Oryctolagus cuniculus: one gene and its partners. The main gene of each other region encodes a partner of the protein of the gene in region 2 in a complex. Links are inferred from orthologs where the notes say so. Each region holds a gene or a part of one and is shown on either strand. Other genes may lie near its edges.

The links.
Region 1: the proteins of ACADM (region 2) and ETFB are in contact, whole or in part, in a crystal structure (PDB 2A1T), measured with the Homo sapiens proteins. The link is inferred for Oryctolagus cuniculus from reciprocal best matches to the Homo sapiens genes ACADM and ETFB. Residues at the interface, in NP_000007.1 of Homo sapiens: Glu43, Gln44, Lys46, Glu47, Phe48, Thr51, Lys54, Phe55, Glu58, Glu59, Arg80, Glu83, Leu84, Gly85, Leu86, Leu98, Leu100, Ile108; in NP_001976.1 of Homo sapiens: Glu73, Arg76, Thr77, Tyr192, Ala193, Thr194, Leu195, Pro196, Ile198, Met199, Lys202.
Region 3: the proteins of ACADM (region 2) and ETFA are in contact, whole or in part, in a crystal structure (PDB 2A1T), measured with the Homo sapiens proteins. The link is inferred for Oryctolagus cuniculus from reciprocal best matches to the Homo sapiens genes ACADM and ETFA. Residues at the interface, in NP_000007.1 of Homo sapiens: Pro163, Lys173, Pro211, Gln232, Arg235, Glu237, Val251, Glu253; in NP_000117.1 of Homo sapiens: Arg223, Lys226, Arg249, Asp253, Ala283, Ile284, Gln285, Glu304.

What each region holds. Positions count from the first base shown.
Region 1 is NC_091449.1:6,947,404-6,952,158, reverse strand, and holds the start of ETFB (electron transfer flavoprotein subunit beta), read right to left. Parts: upstream 3,149-4,755; 5' UTR 3,057-3,148; coding exon 3,000-3,056; exon of another isoform or gene 2,594-2,999; intron 1-2,593. Other genes in the region: CLDND2 (claudin domain-containing protein 2), read right to left, coding at 3,515-3,588, 3,953-4,072, 4,390-4,530, 4,661-4,755. UniProt on the Homo sapiens protein: Heterodimeric electron transfer flavoprotein that accepts electrons from several mitochondrial dehydrogenases, including acyl-CoA dehydrogenases, glutaryl-CoA and sarcosine dehydrogenase.
Region 2 is NC_091438.1:96,227,500-96,231,057, reverse strand, and holds part of ACADM (medium-chain specific acyl-CoA dehydrogenase, mitochondrial), read left to right. Parts: intron 1-3,360; coding exon 3,361-3,558. UniProt on the Homo sapiens protein: Medium-chain specific acyl-CoA dehydrogenase is one of the acyl-CoA dehydrogenases that catalyze the first step of mitochondrial fatty acid beta-oxidation, an aerobic process breaking down fatty acids into acetyl-CoA and allowing the production of energy from fats.
Region 3 is NC_091443.1:106,938,444-106,943,174, forward strand, and holds the start of ETFA (electron transfer flavoprotein subunit alpha, mitochondrial), read right to left. Parts: upstream 3,149-4,731; 5' UTR 2,989-3,148; coding exon 2,950-2,988; intron 1-2,949. UniProt on the Homo sapiens protein: Heterodimeric electron transfer flavoprotein that accepts electrons from several mitochondrial dehydrogenases, including acyl-CoA dehydrogenases, glutaryl-CoA and sarcosine dehydrogenase.

The DNA of each region.
Region 1 (4,755 bases), on a different chromosome or scaffold from region 2:
GCTCCTTAGACCCGGGCCCCTGTGCCCCCACTCACTCACCAGCACAGAAACAGAATGGGAAACCTTCTCTTTAGGGGCCAGGAGGAGACGGGGCGGGGGCCCGGCCCCCGACTCCCAAGGCACAGAGGTGAGAACTCAGCACCCAGCACCTGCTGTCCGTGGAAGGCCTTTGAGGCCTGGAGGCACTGTGTCGTTTAAGTCAGGAAACCCTGGCTGGCCTGAGAATCGGTAAGAAGGGTTTTTGGGTTTTTTGGTCTCGTTTATTTCGGAGTACCCAAAGCAGCCAGGGCCCGCGCGGGCAGTGCTGTGGCATGTTAATCGCTTCACCTGGAGGCCTGTGGGCTGGCCACTGCCCGTCCCACCCTCACTTCAGATGGAGTGACCGAGGGGCAGGAAGGCCATGTGCCTTGGCCACGACACCTGCGGTCTGTCCCCAAGCGTGCCCCGGCAGGGAGGACAGGGCCTCGGGACCGGCTGCCCTGTGTCCAGGAGGCTCCCTGTAGATTCCTGGCAACTCTTCTCGAACCCTGGACACAGCCCCCAGGGACTGGGTTGGATGCAGGCTGTCCTTGTGCGTGGCCGGCCACGTGCTGGGGCACAGAGCCAGCACAGCAGCCAGGGCCACGCGGGGGCAGGAGGGGCAGCCAGCACACCTTCCCATGAGACATCTGGAGAAAACAGGCCGGAGGGGGTGCCGCAGGAGCCCCCCGGGGAGGGGGGCGGAGGCCGTGGGGACCGGGAAACACACAGAGGCACCTGCCTTCCCACGCACGGCCAGAGCGGGAGCCCCCCCGCCGGGGGGGGCAGAGGCCGTGGGGACCGGGAAACACACAGAGGCACCTGCCTTCCCATGCACGGCCAGAGCGGGAGCCCCGAGGGGGGGCAGAGGCCGTGGGGACCAGGAAACACACAGAGGCACCTGCCTTCCCACGCACAGCCGGAGCGGGAGCCCCGAGGAGGGCAGAGGCCGTGGGGACCAGGAAACACACAGAGGCACCTGCCTTCCCATGCACGGCCGGAGCGGGAGCCCCGAGGGGGGGGGCAGAGGCCGTGGGGACCGGGAAACACACAGAGGCACCTGCCTTCCCACGCACGGCCGGAGTGGGAGCCCCGAGGGGGGCAGAGGCCGTGGGGACCGGGAAACAGAGGCACCTGCCTTCCCACACACGGCCGGAGCGGGAGCCCCACGCCCGGGGGGGGGGGCAGAGGCCGTTCGGATCGGGAAACACAGAGGCACCTGCCTTCCCACACACGGCCAGAGCGGGAGCCCCGAGGGGGGCAGAGGCCGTTCGGACCGGGAAACAGAGGCACCTGCCCTCAGCGACTCCACAGTGTCCCCCGCGGCCTCCAGCAGCGCCAGCCACCACCTAGCACGCGCCTCGCACTGTCCCGTTTCCAGTGGTGCACCTGCCAGCGGCGAACACATCCCACGACCTCTTGCCACTGCCCATTCCAGAGGAAGGGGACAGGCACTAAAGCAGTAGGGAGTAAATTCCACTGTCCGGCGGGGGGGGGGGGGGGGGGACTCTGGGGCTGTGGCTTCAAGCAGGCGACCACGACCACGGAAGGCCCCACAGAGGTGACGACGGGGTGAGCAGTGCAACAGCTGCCAGGCTGGGGGTGGGAGGTGGGTGTGGCCACGAGGGCCTGGTGTGTGTGGGGGAGGGCGGTAGAGGCAAGCCAGGGTTCTGCAGGGGCCCTGAGACACACCTCAGTAACCTGAGGAGGTGCATGGAGGGCTTCCTGGAGGTGGTGACGCTGGGACCGGAAGCAGGGGGGGCCGGAGCCAGGGAAAGGAGGAGCAGGTGGGGTGAGGGTCCCAGAGGGGACATGGCCGCCTGAGCGGGGCCGCCGGGATCCCTAAGGCCAGGCTGAGGGGAGAGACTGCGGGTGTGCGAGGAGACTAGGGCAAGGGGCCAGGGGAGGTAGAGAGGACCCTGGAGGGGCGTGGACGGCGTCCAGGCCTGGTGTTCCGGTAGCTGCAGTGTCTGGATCCCCTGTTTGTTCCGAAAGGGGCGTCGACAGACACGCCCAGCGGGATGGAAGGGGGGCAGTGTGCAGGCGCAGGTGCAGGCAGGTGCAGGCGGGGCCGAACACGCTGGAGGCACCCGTGCGCAGGGCTCTGTGCCGGACTGACTGAGTGGAGACAGACCTGCGCCCAGGCCCGGGGCGGAGGGAGCCCTAGGGGGCTGCAGGAGTCCAGGGGAGGGGGGCTCCAAGCAGGAGCGCGGGGTCGCGCGACCCCTGGAGAAGCGCCACTCAGCCCTGGCCCACGCCCGGGAGGGAGCGGCAGGCGGTCCGGAGCTGGGCTGGCCTGGCTGGGTTTCTGTCCTGGCTGGGTGCTCTGGGGAAGACAGGGCCCCAGTGGGCCTCAGCGCCCCGGGACGGGCTGGGGGGGCACCCAGAGGTGAGCGCCCGCGCTGCTGGCACAGCGGAGCCACATGGGCAGCTCAGGCCAAGCACTGAGAGAAACGGAGGGGCTGCTTCCCGCCTCCAAGCCGGGCTCTGGGGACCTGAAGCCCCTGCCCCACCACCCCCAAGCTTGACCTTTCACCCCTGTCGGCCCCTCCCCAGCCAGAGCCTTGGCGCTCACCCCCGGGGGCCGCGGACGGGGAACGCCGGCTTCTGGGGGTCCCCCCAGTCTGCACACTCCGGGGGCTGCGGTCAGAAAGCTCGCCTCGGAGCCACGCGCCGAGTCCGAGCGAAGAACCGGGGGGTCGTGGACGGGACCCCCGGCCCTGGCCCTCCCCGGCCGGGTGGGCGCGCCGTGCCTCAGTTTCCCCGCGTTAAGCAAGGCTCGTGGCTGCTCCGGCCGCTAGGACAGTCATCGGGAGAGTGTGCACGGGGTCGCGACCTCACAGTCCTCGGCGTCTGCCCGTGACTTTGACGACTGGGTCAGGGGTTACGAGCAGACCCCCGCCCATGGCGCGCTCGTGATCCCGGAAGCCCACGGCCGCGGGGCACCACTTGGAAGCAGGAAGGGGGGAGGCCCCGGTCACCTTCACGGCGAAGTCGATAACCCTCTTGACAGCCACGAGCGCGCGCAGCTCCGCCATCTTCCCGCAGCAGCCAGCGGCCGGGGCCGGCGGCACCCCGGACCTCCCCGCCCGAACGCCCCGCCCCCGTCCCTCTCTGCGCCTGCGCGCCGCGCCGCCCGCCACTCCGCGGCTGCGCAGTCCGCGCCCCGCCCGGAAAGGTGACCAATCAGGAGGCCGGAGGTAAGGAGGGGTGTGGCCAGCGGACGCGGACCCACGGAGAGCCGGTCTGGAGCGGGAGGGGGACGGGGCGTGGCCAGAAGGGGGCGTGGCGGGAAATTAGGGGAAAGGTCGTGCGGGGGCCGGCCGCCTGCCCGCCTCTCCGAGTCGCCGCGCCCTTTGTACCCGTGACCCCGGGGGACGACCCCAGGTCAGCCGCGTGCACGGCCCCCGCCCCCCGTGGCCCTGTCCCCCCGAGAGGCGCGCGGAGCCGCGTGGCCGAAATCCGTTCCTTTATTCCGCGTCGGGACGGGCTGCGCTCACAGGCACACCGGGAAGCCGCTGATGGCGTCCGTGCTCTGCACGATCATGTCCGCCAGCAGGAAGCAGAAGCCTGGCGGGAGGGGAAGGGGGTCCCGGCGCGGGGGCTGGGGGCGCGCGGCTCTGCCAGTTCTGCGGGGTCGGGGGTGGGGGCGGGGCCGGGAAGGCGGGGGAGGGGAAGGGGGTCCCAGTGCGGGGGCTGGGGGCGCGCGGCTCGGCCAGTTCTGCGGGGTCGGGGGTGGGGGAGGGGCCGGGAAGGCGGGGGCGCGGAGGGGAAGGGGGTCCCAGTGCGGGGGCTGGGGGCGCGCGGCTTGCCCAGCTCTGCGGGGGCGGGGCTGGGCGGGGGCGGGGCCCAAGGAGGGGCGGGGCTAGGGTCGGGCCCTGGCGAGGGCGGGGCGTCCCAGGGCAGTGTCCCCTCTCCCCGCGGCCCAGGTTACCCGCGAGAATAGAGAAGGGTAAAGCCAGCCACCCCAAGAAATAGGACCAGGAGAAGAAGACGTCGTTCTTCCAGGCAGTCTTCACTGTGTAGCCCGTCAAAGCGATCAGCAGCAGCAAACCTGGGCCGGCCCGCCAGCGCCTCGGGTGAGCGTGGCCAGGCGCAGGTGGGGCCGCCGCGGGCCCACGCACGCCTCGCCGTCCGCCCCGGGCCCTGCCCCTCCGCCAGCCACGCCCCCGCGTCCCGCCCACACCTCGCCGTCCGCCCCGGGCCCTGCCCCTCCGCCAGCCACGACCCCGCGTCCCGTCCACGCCTCCAGCCACGCCCCCGCGTCCAGCCCACGCCTCCAGCCACGCCCCTCCCCGCGGCCTCCCGCCCCGTCTGTCAGGCCACGCCCACCCCTCCCAGCTCCGCCCCCGGGCGCCGCCGCCGTCTCACCGGCGAGGAAGAGGAAGGCGCTCGTGACCTGGCCCCGCAGCGACTCCCCCTGATGGCACAGAATCTTCATTCCCATCACCGTGGCCACGATGCCGAAGCCGGTCGCCAGCACCATGCACGCCCCGGTCACGGCCAGCATGGCTGCGGGCGAGCGGGCCGCGTCAGCCTGCCGCACTGGGCGCCCCCACCCGGGGCTGGGCCGGGCGCGGACCGAGAGGCCTGGAGGTGGCGCGCGCGGAGGGCGGACGCCGCCCGGCCCCGGGCCGCTCACTCTGGCAGGGGATGTTGGAGCAGGTGCCGTGGCTGCACTCCTGCCACAGGCCGCTGTGACCCCCATGGTGGCGCGTCCAGTAGTTGCTGGCGGTG
Region 2 (3,558 bases):
AGCTGCACTCCTATCAAATCCAAATCTGTGTCTGATTTTTTTTTTCCTTCACCGTGTCATCTCTTCTCAGCAGTTTGGAGGAACTTGGAGCTTTCCATTTTTTTCCTTTTAGCTCTTTTTTTTAATCAAGTATTTCTGTGTTGGTGCATTCATGTTGACAGAATTTCATATGTACATTTTATTAAATGTTATTGTAGCTTATTTACAGCTAACAAGTAAAATACTATTCACTTAATATCTGTCATCCTCTTCCGGATCTTCCTTACCAAGTATCTTATGATAACTCTTGGTTATTTTGATTGTTATCTAACTCAGTATGGAGTCTCCTTCCATTATCTTCCATTTTCCTTAATAAAGTCAAAGATTCATTTATTAAATATAGAAAAGTCTTAGTCTTTGCTTACTACTTAACTCAAAATACAATCTTTTATTATTTGATTTCTTCCAATGATTTGCCTCCCTTTTAAATACTCTGCACAGGGGCCAGCACTGTGGCGTAGCGGGTAAGACCACCGCCTGCAGGGCTGGCATCCCATATGGGCGCTGGTTCGAGTCTCGGCTGCTCCTCTTCCAATCCAGCTCTTGTGGGAGACCCAGAAGAAGCTTCTGGCTCCTGGTTTTGGATTGGCACAGCTCCAGCTATTGCAGCCAACTGGGGAGTGAACCAGTGAATGGAAGACCTCTCTCTCTCTGCCTATCCTTCTTTGTGTAATTCTGACTTTCAAGTAAATAAATAAATCTTTTTTTAAAAAATTAAATAAATAAATACTCTGCACAGTGCTGAGTTGCCTGCATTTTCAATTAACAAATACGTATGAAGCCTTCAAAAAGTGCATGGAAAATGCAAATTATGAAAAAACTATTCATAAACTTCAAATTGTTTTGCACCAAAATGTACTTTTTTTAAAAGATTGATTTATTTATGTTGAAAATCAGGATTATAGAGAGAGAGACAGATAGACAGAAAGATCTTCCATTCACTTGTTTACTCCCATGATGGCCGCAATAGCCAGGACTGGGCCAGGCTGAAGTCAGGAGCCAGGAGCTTCATCCAGGTCTCCCACATGGGTAGCAGGGGCCCAAACACTTGAGCCATTTTCCACTGCTTTTCTGAAGCCATTAGCAGGGAGCTGGATCTGAAGCGGAGCAGCCAGGACTTTTAATTGGCACCCAGATGAGATGCTGGCATCACAGGTGGTGGCTTTACCCGGAGAGCCACAATGTCAGCCTTAAACTTACATTAATTAAATTTTCTATGAACTTTTTGAAGTACTCTTGTTTTGTCCCATCTGTGTACTCTGCTCTGTGTAACTCCAGTCTGCTAGAATTTTCTGTATGTAGCATAACATACACAAAGAATAACTTCATACTTAGAAACTATACTTAAATAATTGTTTAGCCATTTCACATTTTTTGTAAAGATTTATTTATTTAAGAGAGAGGTAGAGTCAGAGAGAGAGAGAGAGGTCTTCCATCTGCTGGTTCACTTCCTAAATGAACGCAATGGCCAGAGCTGAGCTGATCCGAAGCCAGAAGCCAGGAGCCAGGAGCTTCTTCTGGGTCTCCCACGCGGGTGCAGGGGCCCAAGGAGTTGGGCCATCTTCTACTGCTTTCCCAGGCCATAGCAGATAGCTGGATCAGAAGTGGAGCAGCCAGGACTTGAACTGATGCCCATATGGGATGCCAAGCGCAGGGGCCCAAGGACTTGGGCCATCTTCTACTGCTTTCCCAGGCCATAGCAGATAGCTGGATCAGAAGTGGAGCAGCCAGGACTTGAACCGATGCCCATATGGGATGCCAGCACTGCAGGCTGGGGCTTTAACCTGCTGCACCATAGTACAGCCTCCTCACATTTAATATTAGAAAATACAACCACCTATCAACACATACTCAGCTGTTTTTCATATGAAAATTTGGAACCAATACTTTGGGTGTAACTATAGGAAGAGATAATTACTGTGAACATTTTATTCTGTTTATTTTTTTTTTTTTTTGATGTATATATTTGTCTAAAGTTGTAACCATACTACATGTTGCAAAATTCCACCTAATACTATGTGGTGAACATATTTCTGTCTTGTAACATGTCATGGCTGTACAACTCAAAGAGAACTTACCAATGATTCTTGAAGGTATTTGTATTACTTTTCCTATTTGATTATGTACTAAGGATAAAAAGCAGCTTTTATTTCTCCTTTCTGCATCATTATCTGATACAATGCCATGTTGTTTTTTTCTATCTGCAATAATTTCCTTTAAAAAGTCTGAGAAACTCAGGACATACATATATTTGTGGTTTTCATGTCCCAAATGCATACTGCCATTCCAGTCATGAGAAAACACTAGACAAACACTGAGGAACATTCTACAAAAAATAATCAGCATTCTTCACATGTTCAAAGGTCATAAAAGATAAGGAAAAACAGGAATTGCAAACAGCCTAGGAAAGACAAAGAAGGTTCTACTTCCAGTCCAGCTTCCTGCTAATGCTTCTGTCAGGGCAGCAGACAACTGCTTGGACCACTTCCACCTAGGTGGCAAACCAGGATGGAATTCCTGGTTCCTGGCTTTGGTCTGGCCCAGCTTTGGCTGTTATGGCCATTTGGTAAATGAACTAGTGGATAGAAGATCAGTTCATCTTCTCTTTCTCTCTCTCACTCACTGCCTTTCAAGTAAATAAATGCATAAATCTATAAAACAACTTGAGTAAAGGTCTATAATATTGGGCCAGCACTGTGGCGTAGCAGGTAAAGTTGGCACCTGCAGTGCTGGCATCCCATATGGGCACCGGTTCGTGTCCTGGCTGCTTCGCTTCAAATTCAGCTCTCTGGTATGGCCTGGGAAAGCAGTAGAAGATGGCCCTAGTCCTTGGGTCCCTGCACCTGCATGGGAGACCCAGAAGAAGCTCCTGGTTCTTGGCTTTGAATCAGCCCAGCTCCAGCCATTGTGGCCATTTGGGAAGTGAACCAGCAGATGGAAGACTTCTCTCTCTCTCTCTCCCTCTCCCTCGCTTCCCCTCTCTCTCCTCCTCCCCCTCCCTCTCCCCCTCCCTCTCCCCCTCTCCCTCTTCGTCCCTCCCTCCCTCTCTCCCTTTCTGCTTCTACCTCTCTAACTCTGCCTTTCAAACAAATAAATAAATCTTTAAAAAAGAGCCTATAATGTATTTGATAATATTGTGCCAGTGTTAATGTCCTGTTGATCATTGCAGTATGATTTTATAATGTGTTAACATTAGAGAAAGATGGGGGGAACTCTGTTGAAAATCTAAAATTAATTCTAACTTTTAAAAAATGTCCTAGGAGAAAAGCTTTTAAGTTTTGCCTATGGATATTTTTAACTCTTTTTTCACTTTAATTCTAGCACCAAGCAGTATCATTTTTGCTGGCTGAGATGGCAATGAAAGTTGAACTAGCTAGAATGAGTTACCAGAGAGCAGCTTGGGAGGTGGATTCTGGTCGGCGAAATACCTATTATGCTTCTATTGCAAAGGCATTTGCTGGAGATATTGCAAATCAGGTTGCTACTGATGCTGTACAGATTTTTGGAGGCAATGGATTT
Region 3 (4,731 bases), on a different chromosome or scaffold from region 2:
TGTGCATCATACTCATCATTTCTTAAGAATCATCGACACATGCTAAGACTACTTGGTAAAAGTCTAATGAGAAACAAGAGAGTTACAAAGTCTCAACCTATCTCCTCACAAATTGGTTAAAAGTTACAAAAGGAGGAGAAACTGCTGACAGTGCACAAACCCAGCACAGGGCTCTTGTCCAAAGTAACTAAAGGTAACAGGGCTGATGATGGGATCAACTATCAGAATGTGCCTCTTCCTAGGCGTGCTGAGAACACAGTCTCACTGCTGCGAGGTCCCAGCCAAGAACGCTTAACCTGAATCTACTGAAGAAACACCTAACAAACTACACTGGGTGAGCGTCGACCAAACAGGAGGCACACACTCCCAAAAATGTCCATGTCATCAACGCCAAAGAAAGGCCGAGGAACGTTCCTCCTAAGACTAAAGAGACTGGCAGCTGCACGCAAGGCAGCCTGTCTCGGACCAGAGGGAGAAACTCTGTGATAAACAGTATTAAACAATGGGTGGCTGGCACTGTGGCGCAGCAGGTTAAGCTTCAGCCTGAGGTGCCAGAATCCCATATGGGTGCTGGTTCAAGTCCTGGCTGCTCCACTTCCGATCCAGCTCCCTGCTGATGGCCTGGGAAAGCAGAAGATGGGCCAAGCCCTTGGGCCCCAGTACCCATGTGGGAGACCTGGAAAAAGCTCCTGCTGCTGGCTTTGGATCGGCCCAGCTCGGCTGTTGCGACCACTGGGGAGTGAACCAGCGGATGAAGACCTCTCTCTCTCTCCCTGTCTCTGTAACTCTACCTCTCAAATATATAAATAAATCTTAAGAAAAAATTGGCAAAATGTGGACATCTACAGATTGGAAAATAATATTGTATCATTGTTAAACTTCCTGATACTGCCAATTATACCATGGTCAGGAAAACAAGCCTCCCTATTCTTTTTTTTTTTTTTTAACAGGCAGAGTGGACAGTGAGAGAGAGAGACAGAGAGAAAGGTCTTCCTTTTGCCATTGGTTCACCCTCCAATGGCCGCAGCGGCCAGCGCGCTGCGGCCGGCGCACCGCGCTGATCCGATGGCAGGAGCCAGGCGCTTCTCCTGGTCTCCCATGCGGTGCAGGGCCCAAGCACTTGGGCCATCCTCCACTGCCCTCCCTGGCCACAGCAGAGAGCTGGCCTGGAAGAGGAGCAACCGGGACAGAATCCGGCGCCCTGACCGGGACTAGAACCTGGTATGCCGGCGCCGCAAGGTGGAGGATTAGCCTAGTGAGCCGCGGTGCCAGCCTTAGCCTCCCTATTCTTTTAAAATAAGCACTGAACAATTCAGGAGTGAAGGGCATGTCTGCAACACACTCTCAAATAATTCAGAAAGAAAGTAGTACTTCCGTATGCAGGTAAGCATGTAGAGAGAAAACACGTGTGTCAAACTGCTAACAGTGGGTGAGATTCAGGAAAGAATCCTGGTATACTTTGTTCTATTTCTGCAACTTTTCTGTAAGCCTGAACTTACTTCAAAAAAGGTAGAGCTAAACAGGCAAAGTGTCTCTAGCTGTCCGTTTCCTTACTGTTCCCTCCGTATCTCATAGGCTTGAAACACAAATCTCAGACATGCTTACCGACTCTGGAGCAGCTGCTCTGAGCTTGACTTCAAATTATAAAAATAAGTCAGGGTCAAAGTCCTTGGCAAACCACAAGAAAGGTTTGGAAACACTACTGACTATGCACACTGGCCGACTGTGCCAACAGTGAGAATCACTTCGACTAGTCACCCTTTTTCATCTGTTAGTTCCACAGACTCTCCCCACTACAGCTATCACGCCACGTACGGCAGCCGTGTAACCTGTCCACAAGGCTGCCTTCCGGCTGCACACGGACAAGTCAAGCTGTGCTTCCTGGAATCCTTCCAAAAACTCGGCTGGACCTGGCTCACGTCTGGAGTCTCTGAGGAAAACAGCAAAACAAAAAAGACGGGGCAAGGACCTGGAGGGCCTGAGTGTGAGTTTTTTAAGGGGAGGAAGAGGGTTGTGACAGAACAAGGAACCCGCACAAGGAAAGGAGCCGTCTACAGACATCTGGGGGGACGAGCAGGTAGGTCCTGGGGTGCGTGGGAACGCGCACACACACAGAAGAGATGTGACGGGCTGGCGCTGTGAGTGGGCGAGCATCCTCCGGGGACGCCAGCACCCCGTATGGACGCCGGTTCAAGTCCCGGCTGCTCCTCTTCCGATCCAGCTCTCTGCTGTGGCCTGGGAAAGCAGTGGACGATGGCCCAAGTCCTTGGGCCCCTGCACCCACGTGGGAGACCTGAAGGAAGCTCCTGGCTCCTGGCTTTGGCCTGGCCCAGCCCGGGTCTTGCAGCCCTTTGGAGAGTGACCCAGTGGAAGGCAGCTCTCTCTGTCTCTCCTTTTCTCTCTGCAACTCTTTTTTTTTTTTTTTTTTTGTCAAGAATGATATAGACTTTCATCCGTTTTAAACTCTGACTTTCAAATAAAATAAATCGTTGAATAACAAGAAATGGTAGCAAAGGCACAAAGCATCAGGGACGTGTCCAACCCAAGTCTAGCTAGCAATCTTTGTGTCCCACTTAAATAAAACTCGAGAAAGCCTAGCACGTGTGCAAGACCAACGTCTGTCCCTGGCCATCGGCCTCCCAAGACCGCTCTCCCACAGCGTGCAGACCCTAATTCATTAACTAACTCCCTCTGGGCCGGAGAGAGGAAGGTGACGAACCCCGGACCCGCACCGCCCGCAAGTCCTCGGCCCCCCGCCCGCGCAGCGGCGCCCACCCGGCCTGCACCCGGCGGCGGACGGTCACGCTGACCTCTACCCTCTGACCCGAGCCGGCGGCCCGGAAGGAGTCAAGGGCAGGGCCCAGAACTCTGCTGGGACCCGAGGGAGCCATGACCTTCGACAAGCCCCTCTCGGGGTCGGCACAGGGAGCCCCTCTCGTCCGGACTCACCGCCCGCCGCAGCTGCCCAGGAGCTACCGCTCGCAGCATGGTCGCTGTGCTGGTTCGCGCCGCGGTCCCCTCAGCCTCGCCAGCCCCGAGCCCCGCCGCACGGCACCGCCTCCTCCAGTCACCCTAAAGCCTCGCGAGACGCGCGGACGGACGAGAACGCGAGCCCGGGGCCGGCTGAGCGAGCGGACGGTTCCCGCCTGCCGATTGGACGGTCGCGCAGCCAATGGGAGCGGCGGAAAGTTGAAGCCTGGGCTTGGAGTAGGGCAAAGGTGAGGCCGCTGTGTGCCGCGCCCGGCCGCGGAGCTGCAGAGGCGGCGCGTCCGCACGCGGCTGGCGGCTGCGCCCGGGCTGTCCTAGCCCCGTCGGGGTTGCCCACAGCGGTTGCCATCAGCTTTCCGTCCTGGCTTCCCAGCCCCGTCCACTGTCCCGCTGCATTCATTCTTGCCCACTCATTCATTCATTTATTCGCAGGGTCAGCTGTTACACCTGTAATGAGCTAAAAACACTTCGCCCAGTGAAGGGAATATAGTAAAAGAACGCAGAAGATCTTGCCCTGCCCGTCGGGGGATTTTATGAGACTCTGGAGGAATGCTACAAATAATTAAGCCTAGCATGACCCTAAAGGGAGAAGGGGTTCTGACGCTGGTGGTCGTTTGAACTGAATTTAGACGGAGGAGCCGTGTGGACACACAGTGGGCACAGTGCCAGGGCGAGGTGCAGAATTCTGTGTGCCGCCTGCGGAAGGGACCGGCCTGGCATGAGGATGTGCGTGTCCCTGGGCAGTTGCACCCCCACCCTGGGGTCAATGCCATGGGTGCAGGGTGCAGCGGCCCCTGGCCTTTGGGTCCACTTATCGACCCGCCCACTGGGCCTGACCCCAGCAAGCCCTGCACGCCTCTAGCTCTCCTCCCACCTGACCTTGAAAACCCATTGCCTGGACCAGCTGATCCTTTCCCCTTCTCTGCCACCCTCATGGTTCTGGGCTGAGGATCCAGGAAACGTGTCTGTGGGAGAGGCCGTTTAGTATCCCCGTTAGCTCTGCATTTGCTCCAAGCCAGGCCTCCACCGATCTCAAACCTGTGCCCTATGCAAATGGAAGAAGTGGGAAGGAGGCAATTCAAGTTAAAAAATGAAAGAGATTTTTGACTCAAAGCCGTGTAAAAAGCGAGATGTAAGCTAACCCCCTTCCCTGCCCCCTGCCACTGGTGACAAAGCAGAAACAGAGGGGAGAGCAGCCTCCCCAGCCCCGCCCCCTCGGGGCAGCTCTGGCACCTGCCGGGCTGCAGTGAATCAGCAGTGGCTGTGCCCAGCGGAGGCACAGTGCCCATGGGACATGGTGGTTCCTGGCAGAGGAACGGCAGAAAATGGCCCAGGTCTGTGGCAGGAGACCAGACCGGCCCTGCACACACAGGGGAGGCCCCTCGCATCTGTGCGGCTCTCACAGCTGAGCTGGGGTCAGAGCCTGCTGCCCCCACGGTTACCTGGGGATCCCAGGCCCAGCTGCCAGTCCTCTGGTCAGGCGTGCTGCACCTGTCTGTCCATTATTACAACCGGGCGAGGGAGGACCCGGGGCACCCAAGGCAATCCCTGTTGGCCAACCTAGGGACTCCTGCTCTTGCCCTCTGGCCCCTGCCCTAAGTTCCCCGGGTAGCTTACAGCTCAGTGGACTCTTGCCACATCCTTTGGCGGAAGGCTCCCCGTTGGAGGACAAAGACCTGCAGCCCTGCATGGTGGAGTCACAGCGTCGCACGCAGCTGTTTGATTCAAGACGCACTTGGCATC